Linked DNA regions of Lepisosteus oculatus. The protein of the gene in region 1 interacts with the protein of each later gene in a pairwise test. Links are inferred from orthologs where the notes say so. Each region holds a gene or a part of one and is shown on either strand. Other genes may lie near its edges.

Evidence for each region.
Region 2: the proteins of disc1 (region 1) and dmd interact in a two-hybrid assay, tested with the Homo sapiens proteins (2 studies listed by BioGRID and IntAct). The link is inferred for Lepisosteus oculatus from reciprocal best matches to the Homo sapiens genes DISC1 and DMD.

The regions. Positions count from the first base shown.
Region 1 is NC_090712.1:5,086,770-5,093,879, forward strand, and holds the start of disc1 (disrupted in schizophrenia 1 protein), read left to right. Parts: upstream 1-4,032; 5' UTR 4,033-4,697; coding exon 4,698-4,806; intron 4,807-7,110. UniProt on the Homo sapiens protein: Involved in the regulation of multiple aspects of embryonic and adult neurogenesis. Required for neural progenitor proliferation in the ventrical/subventrical zone during embryonic brain development and in the adult dentate gyrus of the hippocampus.
Region 2 is NC_090710.1:29,679,153-29,687,000, reverse strand, and holds the start of dmd (dystrophin), read right to left. Parts: upstream 3,058-7,848; 5' UTR 3,040-3,057; coding exon 2,943-3,039; intron 1-2,942. UniProt on the Homo sapiens protein: Anchors the extracellular matrix to the cytoskeleton via F-actin. Ligand for dystroglycan.

The DNA.
Region 1 (7,110 bases):
AGTACTTTTCCGGTAGTAAGGTTCAGGACAGCATGAAGGCTGTAAGTGCACCCAAGTGTTGAAAATCATAAAAGGCAATGACAGAGTTAATCCCCATGGATTGGAAGTTACTGGTCACGGGAAAGAAGGTGTCATAGAACTTGGAACAAGAAGCCCTTTTTGTGGGTGTCTGAACATGCTGGTTTGCTGTGTTGAAGCCATGTTCCTAGGGAGCCTTCAAGAAACAGCAGGATGGGATACTTGCATCAATGAGCTACTTACAGCCAAAGGCAGTGAGTGAGTTGAATGGTCTGCTCTTCGGTGTAACCATTTTAGTTTGTTGCTGATCTTGACTGACTTTATTCTCTAATTGCCAAAATGTCAAGGAGCAGCTTTCTCTCTTACAAGTGAATACAGCAGTAAGCTTCCATGTGTATGATAGTCACAAGTGTTTCCTTAAAAAATGCGGTGAGTTAGATTAAAAACTAGCGCCCATTCACTTGCCAATTCACAAGGTCAGGCACAGATCAAATATCTATGCCTCACAAAATATCATGCTGTATGTGTAATATAAACGTTCAAACCTTTGCTTAAAAACAGCACCATGCAATACTCCAAACTCAGAGCAAAAGCTTAATGCTTAGCAAATAAGGTAGCTAATGAATGGGTTAACCTAGCCATAGCAATAAACATGTGTTTGAGCCTGGTCAGTACCTGGATGGGAGACCTCCTGGGAAAAACTAAGGTTGCTGCTGGAAGAGGTGTTAGTGGGGCCAGCAGGGGGCGCTCACCCTGTGGTCTATGTGGGTCCTAATGCCCCAGTATAGTGACGGGGACACTATACTGTAAACAGGTGCTGGATGAGACGTAAAACCGAGGTCCAGACTCTCTGTGGTCATTAAAAATCCCAGGGTGTTTCTCAAAAAGAGTAGGGGTCTAACCCCAGCGTCCTGGCCAAATTTCCAATTGGCCTTTACCAACCATGGCCTCCTAATAATCCCCCTCTATGAATTGGCTACATTACTCTGCTCTCCTCCCCACTGGTAGCTGATGTGTGGGGAGCGTTCTGGTGCACTATGGCTGCTGTCGCATCATCCAGGTGGGGCTGCACATTGGTGGTGGTGGAGGGGAGTCCCCATTACCTGTAAAACGCTTTGAGTGGAGTGTCCAGAAAATTGCTATATAAGTGTAAGCAATTATTATTATTATTATTATTATTATTATTATTATTATGTGCAACTGCAGTAGTAGTGAACATAAACCCGATTTATTAAAAATAACTGCAGTTCAGCATCTTCCCACTAGGTGGCAATGCCGAGCTACGGTTGAACTTTTTCACTTTTGCTGGTTATCTGCGGGGAGACACATCTTCCTCAGTGGCGAAAAATGAACCTTCGATAGCGCTGCTGGGTATATTTTGTCTTTAACAGACACTGACATTTTTGTAAAGAGCAAAAGGCACGCACGGTGAAACTGTGATCCCTCCACCACCCTTGCCCTTAACGTGTCTTTATAAACTCGGATTGAAACAAATGTGTGTATGAACCTGCACTTGACCAGACTGAAAGAAAGAGTTAAACGCCTCATTTAATTTAATTATATTCTGTTCCTTGCGACGCAATGAACAACCGAAAGGGACACGACTTCACAGCCGCGGTACAGTTTTGCATCTCCCAGAATGTCAACTGAAAACGTGGCAAAGCATGGCATATTCATAACCTCTAATGCAGTTTCTTTGGCACCCGGTGTATTTTTTATCATTTTGAAACTAGATCTCATTTCCAGTTTCAAGCTTGGCCAGCTGGGGGCCAGTGTGTAACGCCTTCATTTATTCTGCAGCTGAAAGGGTAAATGCCTACATGCCATTCTCACCCGGCTTGGTTTAAAAGGCGATGCTCTCTCACAGAGAGTTCATGTCTACCGAGACAGGAGAGGAGACGGGGAACAAGTGCACCTCTGTTTAGAAGCAGCATGAAAGAACTTGAATTACAGTTCGGCGGAGTGGATACGTCCCCCACCCCGACACTGCGACCATACAGTAGACTTCCAAGCAAAGCTCCGTTTCGCCACAAAATGGCCCGGGCATTCCTTTTGGCTCTGGCTGCCTGGAAGAGCACATTAGAGACAGCGCTGCACAAGCAATGTCTTTTCATCTCCTGTTAGAGGGGCTCTGTTAACTGCAGTACTGATACATTGATATACTATTAATATACTAAGATATGTGGTGGTGTTTGGTAGCAAAAGGTAAGAAAAAACATTATAAGTTAGGCTTTCACATGTTTTTACCTTATCAAATTATTTTAATTCTTAAGAGAGGAAGGGGTTTTGCAGTTTGTGTTTCACTAGAAATGATCAAACCCAAGGCAACACTTTGGGAACAATTTCTTATGCTTTCCCTCTGCTTTTATCAGGTCATTCTTATTTGTAAAACTCGATTCTGCTTACATGTGTGAAGTGCATCATCACAGGGCAGCACATACCTCTCATGTCTGAGCACTGAGCACCTGCTCTGCCACCAGCACTTGAGCGCCTAACCTCTGCAACTTGCAAACACTGAAGTCTTGCTCATACTGTATACTGTAACTCACAACTGGCAACCCAGTGGAGCTCAGCAGGTGTGAGCCTGGTCAGTAACCGGCATAGGAGCCCTCCTGGGAGAAGCTGAGGCTGCCGCTGGAAGAGGTGTTAGTAGGGCCAGCAGGGAGCACTCACCCTGCAGCCTGTGTGGGTCCTAATGCCCCAGTGTAGTGACGGGGACACTATACTGTAAAAAGGCTCCGTCCTTTGGATGAGACGTAAAACCAAGGTCATGACTCTCTGTGGTCATTAAAAATCCCAGGGTGCTTCTCGAAAAGAGTAGGGGTGTATCCTGGATAAATTTCCCATTGGCCCGTATCAATCATGGCCTCCTAATAACCCCCATCTCTGAACTGGCTTCATTACTCTGCTCTCCTCCCCACTGAGAGCTGGTGTGTGGTGAGTGTTCTGGTGCACTATGGCTGCTGTCATCATCCAGGTGGGGCTGCACATTGGTGGTGATGGAGGGGATCCCCATTACCTGTAAAGCACTTTGAGTGGAGTGTCCAGAAGAGCGCTATATAAGTCTAAGAAGATATTATTATTAATTATATAAGGGTCCTTACACACAAGGCCATCTCCACAGTACCTTTGGATAAAAGGGTCAGCTATATACTGTAAATGAACAGTTGCAGTCTAGTCGATTTCAGTTTTCCATTTGGGGGCAATGGAGTATTTAAAAAACAGTTACTTTAGTCTGTTTCACAGAGTTGAGGACGTTGGAGTGGAGTTGCTGCTCCTCTGGATCGAGAGGAGTCAGTTGAGAAGGGCTGGGCATCTGGTGAGGACCCAGGGTGGACCCAGGACAGGCTGGGGGGGGAGGGTTCTCTCAGCTGGTCTGGGAGCTCCTGAGAGTCCCGCAAGAGGACTTGGAGACTGTTGCCGGGGAAAGGAAAGGAAATTCTGGGCTGCCCTGCTCGGCCAGTCATCACAGCAACCCTCAGCAGGAGCAAGGGGCTAGAACATGGGTGGATGGACGTGAAAAGGTCCAGTGGGACTTTTGAAAACCTCTCATGTCTTAATTAGAATCAACTCTGTACCAGATTCTGTGTTTCAGAACTACCTGCGCACAGGTGTGACGTCGGAAATGGAAACGCCTGGACCGCCTGGCAGATGGAAAGCAAAGCTCGCTGAGGGTGTCTGACACAACGTCCGTCTCGCCTGGATCTGTTCATCGGAAACCCATCACCTTCTGGGGGCTGTGCACCGAGAAATAAGGGTTCGCAAATCGAGGAGAGATTGTTTAAAGTCCTGTGGGATGTTTTTGTAGGCCAAACTATCTTAGAAGGGGGGTGGACACACATCATAGGGGGGATTGGAAATTCCTGCCCAACAGGAAGACCACCGCCTTCATGTCCATCGACACCATTTGACACATTTTCCAAATGCAATACAGTTTAGTCTTTAACGGGAAAAAAACACCCGCTTTTGATATTCAGAATGAATGGTGACCATTTAAGTGGCGTCCCAACATAATTTCGTTGTTTAACTCGTTTGCACATCCAGCTAGCGCTTCCCAGTCACCCCAGAGCCGAAGGAGGCGGCTCCGGCACTGCGTGCGGTTTCGGATTTCATCTCACGGCCAGAGGAAACTCCTGGGCTTCACAATGGAGCGCATAACGGCATAAAGCGCCGCGGGCTGTATCTGGAATACGACGGCAGAAAATGTTAGCACGGAACAGAAAGCGCCGAGCCTTTTTTTTCTGCGTAACCCTTGGAAGATTGCGCCGCGCTCCGTAAAAACAAAATCAAACTGGCGAATGTTATTCTTCCCACTGGGAAGTGGCAGGAATTGTCATCAAGCGCTGCCTGGGATTTTGCCTGGTTTAAGGGCAGTGCTGTTAGTGAGCTGCAGGCTGAAGACGAAACACACTAAAGACACGCCGGCGTCTTCTTTTAACGCAGGCCACACAGGGGACACAAAACGCGCAGGAAGCGGTGCGAGTCTTGGAATTTTATTTTTAGGGGAAACACTTTCCCGAGCGGAAATGACTTCAGTGTGATTTTCTTTCTGCAGAGCTCCGCCAGAGAAGGGAATTCCTAGGCAGACTGGAAAGATGTCCGTTTTCACCCGTTCATCGTTTCTGGAAACATAACAGCTTTTGTTGTTTTGTTTTGTTTTTTTGCTCCTTGCAAAAAAAATGTTTACCGGGATGGTGAAGGTAGGGGGCGAAGTCCCCTCCATGCCGATCTCTGACACTGACAGCATCACGCACGTCAGCCACCGGCACCATGCTGGGTTCAGGCCAGGTAATTATTGGCGTTATTTACTATAAAGCGTTGCGAGGTCTAAATCTGTTCAACTGCGTTGCGCTTTATTAAACACGATTGACATCATCGGTGTTTTATGCATGTTCTTCTCTTATGTTATATCTTCTTTGAACGTTAATAGTTTGCGGTTCGATAACTGTAAAATACTGTAGTTTTGTTTTACAATTCAATGTCCGCACCGGTTTTTGAAGCTGTAAAAACTCGGATTTGAACAATGTTGCGAGTTCGATTGATAAACACAAACGCCCCTGAAAACATTTTCACATCTATTCATAGTGTTGGTTGGTTTCAGTTGTATCCAAATGTTTATTTATTTTTGCATCTGTTTTGTGATCACAGTTACCACTACCCGCCTGAGCCAGATTCGTTACAAGAAATTGCACTGCGGCCAACTTTTGAGCGAAACGTCAGCCGAGTTCTGTGAACTGCAAGTTTGCAAGGAGTTTTTTTGGGGAAATTAATCGCGCGTGATGAGCACAAAAACGGCATGACCCAAAATGTTTTTTGAAATGCTGAAACATGTAACACAATATATGATATTTTAGGAAGTCACGCAATGCGTTTATAAAACCTCTGACTGCCCTTAGGTTTTAAAGTAACACATCTAGCCCTGGTTAAAAAAATGAAATTTCCCATGACTGCTGTTTAATTCAAATTTGTAGATGATCGGACGTTAGGCTAACTTTTTTTTTAATAATCTGAAAATTCACACTGCAGGGATTTACATTAGAATTGTGAATTAATCTGTGATCGTCGCATTTCTACAGTTTTTAACTGTAGTACGGGCAAGCAAGCATTTTAGACGTGTCTCCTGAATGACACGCACGCACAGAACGCAGATCTGAGGACAAAGTTGAATTTGAGATGTTACAGCACAGCAAAGCTGCGTGTCCGACGTTCAGTCCAATCAGCTTTCCCAACTCGTCATATCACAGGGAACTCGAGTCCTCAACCCTGATGCAGATACTGTGTGCGCTTTTCCAAGACAGCCTGAAAAGTTTACCCCCGTCTTCAAGATCAGAGATGTTTTCTATTGTTGTTGAATAAACATAGATGCTACTTGCTAGTTTAAAAACAAACGAAGGCCCCGGTGCTAATGTCAGAATTGTTTGTGTATTTATTTATGCATAAAGTCGTCTCTTAACATAAAACCAGTCTATATTAATCCAAACGTCATTGGCCTGAATGACACGATTTTCCAACAAGGGAAGCCATATTTCTAGTAAACCTGAAACTAGTGAGCACATAAAGCAAGCACACGAAAAACAAGGTTTTTCAGATGACCGTTAATAAAGTCTTTGAAGTTTGATCATGTGTGGAGCTTGTTTTTCAAGTTCTCGCTGACATACATACTGTATGAGTCTGAGCAGTGAATCTGCAGTATGTAGCATAAGTAGACACTTCACATTAATCTGACAAAAAGAATTTGAATTCTGTACATTTTGAATTCTCTTTATCAGTTTTTTTAGCTTTGTAATCTTACAGTTTTGGGGTCTGCATTTTCACAGGCAGAAAATCCGATAGAGGCAGTTTTACATAGCATTCTGTATTTTGGAATTATCTGAAGGGAGATTATTGTTAATAGAGAAAAAAAATATTGTGGAGAGACAACAGAAGTCAAATAGAGTACTCTGTACCTCAAGTTGTGATGTTGTGCCTTTATTACAGAAAACAGAAACAGAAACATTAAAATAGTCTGTAATATTGTTCTTAGAAGCTATGAATGGTTTTCTGCTGGTTAAAAAACGAAATTAAAGGTGATGTAGAATAATTCCTCCACAGGAAAAAAAAATGATTTGTTTATTTGCGTTTTATGCTGTATCGGTTTGCCATTAATCTTAGTCTGTCTTTCATTTATGCTTTTTAAAAAGCAAAGAAATGTAAAAACTGTATTATGAAGGCCTTTCGTCACTGTCGTCTGCTGTATCTTACTAGTTTTGACATTTTTATTTCTGTTCAAAGGCCATTAGTCATGTTTTGTTGCCTGAGCAGCCTAGAGATTAAAAATGATTATGGAGGAGAATCGCTTTTGTTTCAGTTACTGGTATTGGACTTCCTTATTTCTTGTTAAATTCTTACTTTCTTAAAATACCCCTTTTCTGTTGCACTTCTTCTTAGAAAAGATTTTGAATTTTCTCATTTATTTATTTATGCCTACAGGCAACGTGCTTGTGATAGCTTTGTGTTTCCACATGACTTAACAGGATGTTTTCTGTATAACTTTCTGTGCTGAGGCGTTTTTGCTGTGCTGTGCTGAGGCCCAGTCGATGAAAGTAAATTACA
Region 2 (7,848 bases), on another chromosome or scaffold:
AATTCTACCAAGCTTTGTATGCTTTAAGATTAGTGTATTAATATTTATAAGATGATGCTGCAGATTAAGAATAATTACGTTTTCCATGTAATCACTCTTTTGTTTCAAGCTAAGACTTTCTAACAAAAGGTTCCAGGACAAGGCAGCATCATCTAACATAGATTCCTGTCCCAGTTTGTTCGATATGCTACAGAATACTGCATTCAGGACTCACATCTATTAAATAATAAAATGAGTAAAGTGATCCAACACAACCGTTTCTCATTAGTCGTAATGGGATTAAATTATTTTATTGTGATTATCAATTCAGGGTGGTACAGTGGGTAGCACTGCATCATGGTCCTGGATTTAGAGCAGTCTAGGTGGAGTTCATGTGTTTGTCCATGTTTGTCCTGCGTGTTTTGTTTTGTGCCTGTGGATTTTCTCTAGATGCCTACCATAGTCCAAATACTGCACACACTGTCTGGGTAATTGGGATCTCAGAATGGCTCCCTGTTTGCTGGTTCGCAAGAGAGCCTTATTATGGATTTGTGTCCTTTCCAGGTTATAATCCTGCCTTGTATGCTGTGCTTACAGGGTTTTGATCCACTGCAAACCTCTAAGGATAAAGTAGTAACTAAAAATGGATGGATGGCTTATTAAAATAAGCAACACTCCTCAGAATGTACAAAATACAATTACACTGGACTGCTTCTCTTTAACAACAATGTCTGAAAGGGAAATAAGGAGTCATTTCTATGTTATTGCCATTACATTTTAAGCAATATTTTCTGGGCAAAGACCTACAGTACGCAACACTCCAGCCTATTAGAATGAGCAATCAGTGGCTATCACCTCTACTATTTAGTGAATACAAAATAGTAACACTATTATAACACTTCCTCCCACCAGTCGATTCAAGCATGATAGTTCTCAGAAAAATGTAAGATCAAAAGTCTGTTGTCATGCAGCTTTTTTTCCCCCTCCTAGTCAAGACCTATTTTTTGTTCTTTGTGTAACAGCGAGTTTTTTTTTTTCCATGTTAGCAAAGCTGTAAATCTCTCCCGACTGAGCCAGGAGAAGAGATATCAGCTTGCACTGTGGAGTGTGGTCAAGGACTGGATAGTTCTCATTGGACCTGAGAAGTGATAGGTTGTCTGGTTTCACACGAAGGGTAAAGAGACTGTCACTCCCATATCTCAAGGACAGAGGCCTCTTTGCCCTCTTGGGCCTGCAACAGGTGGCAGATTCTGTCCTCCCCTTTGCAATCATCCCTGGGGTTAAGTGTGCTGCTGGCAGAAGGATTATATCCAGTCTCATGCTGTTAAAAGGCTGAGAACTGGATTGTGTGTTGGGGCCAAACTGACCCTGAGAAACCCTCGCACAACTGCCTGAGGACCCAACAGCTATGAGACAGCAGCGCTTACTGCCATTCCACAGGGCCATGTCACTCAAATGAAAGCATACGGCAACTTCACCTTCTTCTAACTAACTGCACTAGAATTTGTATAAATCTGTGTGCCAAGTAAAATCGAAATCGCTGAGAGGTAAATTACGTTAGACACCAGGTCCCAGACAAGAAGCAGTTCTGTGATTTTGTGTTCTTTTCAAGTTTCGACAACAGAAAAGTCTAGAACTGTCCTTTTTCTAACCACCTGCTTCTAGTTCAATTTAATTTCAGGTCAGCTGTCAGATTATCCAATTAAGATGATTTATCCTACAAGACAAAGCTAACAATTTTCACGTACTACAGAAAGTAGCATTCTGAATACAAGAACGACACAATGCTCTGAAACCTTACAGCTGGGGTTTTTCTAAGCCGATCCAGATTTGTTTCACACAATCATCATCAAACCAAATCTAACGTAACTTCTGCTTCACTCTGTCCAGATTCTCTAAAGCTTTTTTTTATTAAAGCAAAATATGCCACAGCTGCACCTTGCCTGAAGCAGATCACAGCTGAGGATATGCCAAAAACATGCAGCCTTTGAGGACAATGGAAAAGTCTCAGTTTGCATTAGTCAGGAAATCCGAGGTTTCACTAGACATGTTTCCAAATATTAAACAGCTTCAAAATTAGCTGTCAAGTCTCATTTCTATATGTCAAAGCTTTTTTTTTTACAAATAAGCTGATATAGGGAAATTAGGAGCAGTAATTAAGCACAAAATCAGAGAGCAGCTGGGGAGGCATCAAGTTGGCAAAATGCAAGTACAGTTTGGTTTGCTGAAACAGATGCAGCAGTTATCTACAACAATACTGCTGGACCATTTCTGAGTTTTTTTTCTTTTGCTACTGTACACTCCCACCTCTTCAGGAATAAATTAATAAAAAAAAAACATTTGTGAAATAAAACAAAGTGGAACCAGCAGCAATAAACTCACATTGCTGCACTCATAACATCATATAAAGTAAGGAAAGATTCATTACAAGACACGGTATTATCAGTAAGCCCAAGTGGTTGTAATACTCTCTGGCAATTTCTACAGGGAATATTTTTTTGCTTCTTTCTTTCCTTCTAACCCACTTTCTAAAGCTAGACTGACTACTGTTTTTATTTTTTTGTTGTTTTTGGCTTACCTGACAAAATCTAATTCCCCAGTTCTTTTCATAACTACATGCAGTCTATTAATAGTTGATGACTGTTTTAAAGCAGATTTGTTTCACAGCAATGGTTTGTTTTCAGTCGGTATTCCCCCACTGAGGACTGTAACATTAAGTCTTCAAAACAAGGAGAAGAAGAGCAAGAGAAAAAAAAAGATCCATGCTGCTAATTCTGATAGATAGCCACAGCAAAAAAGACAACAAATAATCTTTTTTTTTTTCGGCAGTTTGACTGACACAACCCCTTTCAGTGCCTAGCAACAAATCCTCTTCCATCAAGCACAGGGCATTCTAACATATGCTCTGTCATGGTCAGTTTCTAATTACATTCATAACGATGTGATGGCGTTTGTAATCCTACCTTCCATGCCAGCTGCTTTCCCATTCACTCCATCACGCCAATAAGTTGGCGGCTGAAACCAATCTGGGCTGTGCAAAACGGCATCTTTTCCCTGCATCTGTCATCTTCCGGAGAGCATTCTATTACTGCCGACTGCTGGGAGCCAGAAAGTCTATTTGAATTCCAGCAGCTCCCTTCTTTCCTGCTTCAAGTTAGGCTAGGTGGGCATGTCTAACGTGATTCTCTCCATCATTTATTATGCAGCTGCTACACGATCGTGTCCTGCTAACCCTTTTTTTATCTGATACATCACTCGCAGTAACCTAGACCTTTCTGCTATAACACATCTGAAGCTACTACAGTAAAATCAAGGCTGCATGCACATCTGGATGTATATATATATACAGTACATTTTATATTTGGTTTTATATATGAAAAGGGAATACATTTTTTAAAATAGTAATTTATTTAAACATGCACATGCTGACACACTCTAGGTGTCAGAATTATCCTTCCATTCCTCTAAGATAGGAAGAATTAACATGAAAAATTGATTTGAAGGAACAGTTTTACCATGGTTAAAAGAAAATGCAGCAGAAGGCTAGTTTTGCAGGGATTTTATGACAAACTTTTCTTATCTGCATATCCACGCTCAGTGCTACACATACATTCAATCAATGATTTCCCAGAGCACACATCTAGAAAACTGCTGTTTGAAGTCATGTTTTCCATTGTCCTGTCAAGCTTGTCGTATACCTGCTGCTCTATAGACCTTGGGGCAGGTAGATTCTAGTGCGTCACTTTTTATTTTTAATCTTCTTTTAGATTGAAGTATTTTATGTTTAGTACAGGTGGGCATTTCATTTAGGAAGCTGAAAATACAAACCCCTCACCCACAAATCTCTTTTCTGCAGGTGCAACGTGTTTTTTTTTCCCTGTGTAAGTCTTTCACAGTGACGTAACCACTTCTGTCCCGAAAGAATGAAAGCTATGGGAAGCCTGCTGAGTTATACGACCAGTCTTTTGACCGACCAGATGCGTTTGCATGTCAGCGCACTGTGTGGTGGGGGATGCTTACGAGACAGAAGATTGAATCCCAGCAGGAGATAAACTGTGCATGTATCAGAGGCTTCACATTCAAGGAAGCTATGATGTTTGCTCCACTCCTGACTTTGCCACTGTAGTTAACGTTACTACTCTTTTGTGTTCTTTTCTGTCCATTGAGACTTTTTTGCAGACTCCTCCACAGTAAGGCTTCAGTAAGAGTCCTTATGGACAAACTATCACTGTATGTTTTCTCCTTTCTTGAATATAATTTGCCTAGCTTCATTTCTCTCAGCACATTTTCAGGCTCACCGTTTAAAAGAACGCTTCCAAATGTTCCTCTTACGTACAGTAGCTGAAGTTAAATGCTCCCTGTTATACTTCTTTCTGAAATGGTTAACACACTTTGTTTTTTACAAGTCAGTGTTCAGGAAACCATGCTGTACATATAGTTTTCCATTTGCATTTGGATGTAGAAGGTGTGCCCATTATTTTGTCTGCCAGATGTGCAATGTCTTCTGTCTTAACATTTATAATTATTTTGCAACCTTTTAAAATACATTTGAATATTACAAAGAAAACCTTTATACTGAATCAATTTAGACAACTTTTAAAAAGTGCCCATAATTCATATTATAATTTTAAAGACTTCACAATGCATGCGCACAAAGGTGTAAAACATTTGAAAAGCCCAACATGGAATCTAAAACCACAATAAAAAATGCCATTGGTAAGAGTGTCAAGGAAGGACACAATGCTAAAATCAAGGCACCAGTAGTGACTAGACATCAGTATATCATGTTGTTATACTGTATGTGTGCCAAAACACCAATATATTATTTTTGAATCCCTTTAGAATAGGGTCTAGAAGCAGCTCAATACTGCATTCATTCAATCTGATTGAATCGTTCAGCGATTTGTCTGACCCTGTTAATATACACCTTCTCATAAATTTAGAACCTTTCAACATGAAGAAAGAAGCTTTTAAAGCCAATAAAATAACAGGGAGGCAAGTATGCAACAATGATATCCAATCAGTTTTGCACTGCATTTCAATCAGCGCAGAATGCACAAAATTGCTGATCCTCTTAAGTTTGCTCTAAAAATGGCAAAACTCTGCACAAAAAAGAGCACAAAAACAAAGCCTTTTTCTAAAGTACATTGTTTTCTTTAAAAAGTCAGAAATATTTTAGCAGCTCGCAAACTGAAAGGCGTCTCATTTAAGCTGTCCTATAGTTATACACATTTCCAGGACACTGGAAATGTCCTCGTTAAACTGATTAAACTGATTTATTTAATCAATTCTTTTTTTGCCTCTTTTTTTATCTATTAAAATTTGGAGATAGCTTCATTACTTTTCTACTGCTTTTTCATCTCTGTCTGTATGTCTGATTTAGATACAGACAGATTTAAGTTTCGTTGCCCTAATATACTGTCTTCTGCTATTCTTTTCAATATCTATCATTGTCACTGGAACTACTGGAATAATTTGACGTCAGTGATTTTATTGCAGTGATTAAAGCATAGGTTTACCAGTGAACTTCACTTGCGGTCATTCTTATTTGCAAATGTAAAAACAACAAAGAACCTCATTAAAAAAAAAAACATTTTGCAGGACAAAATTAAAACCCGCTTCATTTTTTTCACTACCCTTTTCTAAATGAAGTTACTACGCCTATGAAGACAACTCACACTGTGACATTAATGACTGGTAGAATTCAAATGAAGCAGTAAATGGGAATTCTTCTGTATTGACAGAACCAGCAGCCAGAGGAGCAGAAGTTAGGATCTGTCTTTCTCTCCCTGAACTGCCAGAGAAAGTGGATTTTGCAGTGTACTTTGAGGATAATTCCCTTGCTGGCCCACAACTACAGAAAGAGATACATTTCAAATCCTGTCTCAAAGACAATCGGTTTGGTGGCTTGGTGCTCAAGGGAGGTCTGGAGTGGAGCATCCTTCTTCGAGAGACAATATCCTGTAAATGGTCTTGCTTTAACTGTTTGTTCTGGCTGTGAATCCCTTGTGGTAAAATAATGCACTAAAATATCTAAATGGCTTTGACAGTAACTGGTGCACCTTTTGTTTAATGGCAATGAAGAAATATAAATAGTGGCAATTCAGTTAATAAAAAATGTCATTTAAATAAAGCCTCTTGGCAAATATTCATAGAGGTGGGGGATTATGGCATTTATATAGGACAAATCGACATTTATTCTCATGATAGTGACATATGCAGTAGCATGTATTGTCACCTTCTTTTGTTTGGCTGTTTTATCTTTGACCACTCTTACAAAGCAACGTCTTGCTACAGGTCTTAATAGAAGGTCTGTTGCCAAGACAACAATATCTAGACCCCTAGAATAAGTTACAACAAGTTACAAAGGAGTTTTCAAGACATGATCTTCAAATTTGAAATTCTGAAATCTAGACAGCAGTTTTTTTTTGTGAAGAACTGTTGGTGAACAGTGTTGTACTAAAGGTTGTGAAACGAGATTTCTGAGACAATTTGGGGTGTGACTGGTTTTAAGTGCCATCAAATTAGTAAGAATCTAAATCTTGCCAAGGAAAAGCACAAGCAGATACAACATCACTATTCTGTGCCATCTCTACACTTGCAGACTAAAATAATTTTTCACCATGACAAGGACCCGAAATACCAAATAAAACATTCTTTTGGTCAGGAAATATATGTTTGGCAGAATATTGTATGTTAAAAATGTAAAATTATAAGCTATCATGAAGTTCTGTTTCAGTGAAGCATTCTGACATTATTTCTTAGGTTACCAGAATAATAATGAGCTAAATGTTGCAATAATCAATGAATTTCCAATGGTGAAAAGCACACATATAGTACCATAGTTCACAACAATTGCATTAATAAACTGCAGTATACTAAGAACTAGGGCGTTTGTAAAATTAGGAGTATAAATGATAAATCACAGAAATAAGAAAAATGAATGATTTTGAAACAATGCTATCATGTATTTTTTTGTTATTGTCTGATAAGAACAAAAATGAGAGAGTGAACAAAAAAAATAAAAATAAAGAAGTCCTCCAAAGTTGGGGGGGTGGGGTGTAGGTTGGTTAAAAAAAATAAACAATGATATCATGCAAAATAGCTGTCCATGATTAATCAACAAACACTGTGAACACTGCACTGATGTAACAACTATGAATACTATATTAAGCATTATTAAATGCAGCACATTTAAATATTTACATACAAACCAATAGCGAAGGAACATATTTGTCAAAAACTGAGGCCTAACTGTATTTCACAACAACTGGTGTGTTTGTCAAATAAGCCGAGCCATGCAGCCCGTTGAGAGTTTATCAGAAACAGCTGGTCTTAAAAGATATGAGAGAGAAGCTGGAAGCAAACTGCTAAACTGATCAAGTTCACCTAAAAAGACCGATGAAAGACCTGACTGCAGGTTGCAAAGGGCAGGTTCCCTAGCCACTGATGATAGTACAGAAGAATAGACGCAAAGGATAGGTGAGGTTTGAAGAAGAGACTCTACAGGGAAAGCTTCACTGGTGATTGCACTAGCATGTCATTTATATTGCTAATAATGTAATATTTAGTTTGTCACACATACATTGCACATGACCCTAGAACTGGAGTGGCAAAAGTGCTACCGTTAATCTAGGGATCTTTTTGCCTTCTTTAAGTCTAAGAGATTCATTATCTGGATACTTGGAAGTATTACAGTTTAGCAAACAAAATATTAAATTAAGTAATTTCGGTCTGAGAAGCAGCACTATATGCCTGGGACCTGTGCTCATCGAAGCTGCAATGAAAAATAAAGAAATACAGAAATACATGATATCATCATAAAAAAGGGGCTCTGGAGCCATTGAACCGTATTTAAAGTAAATAATG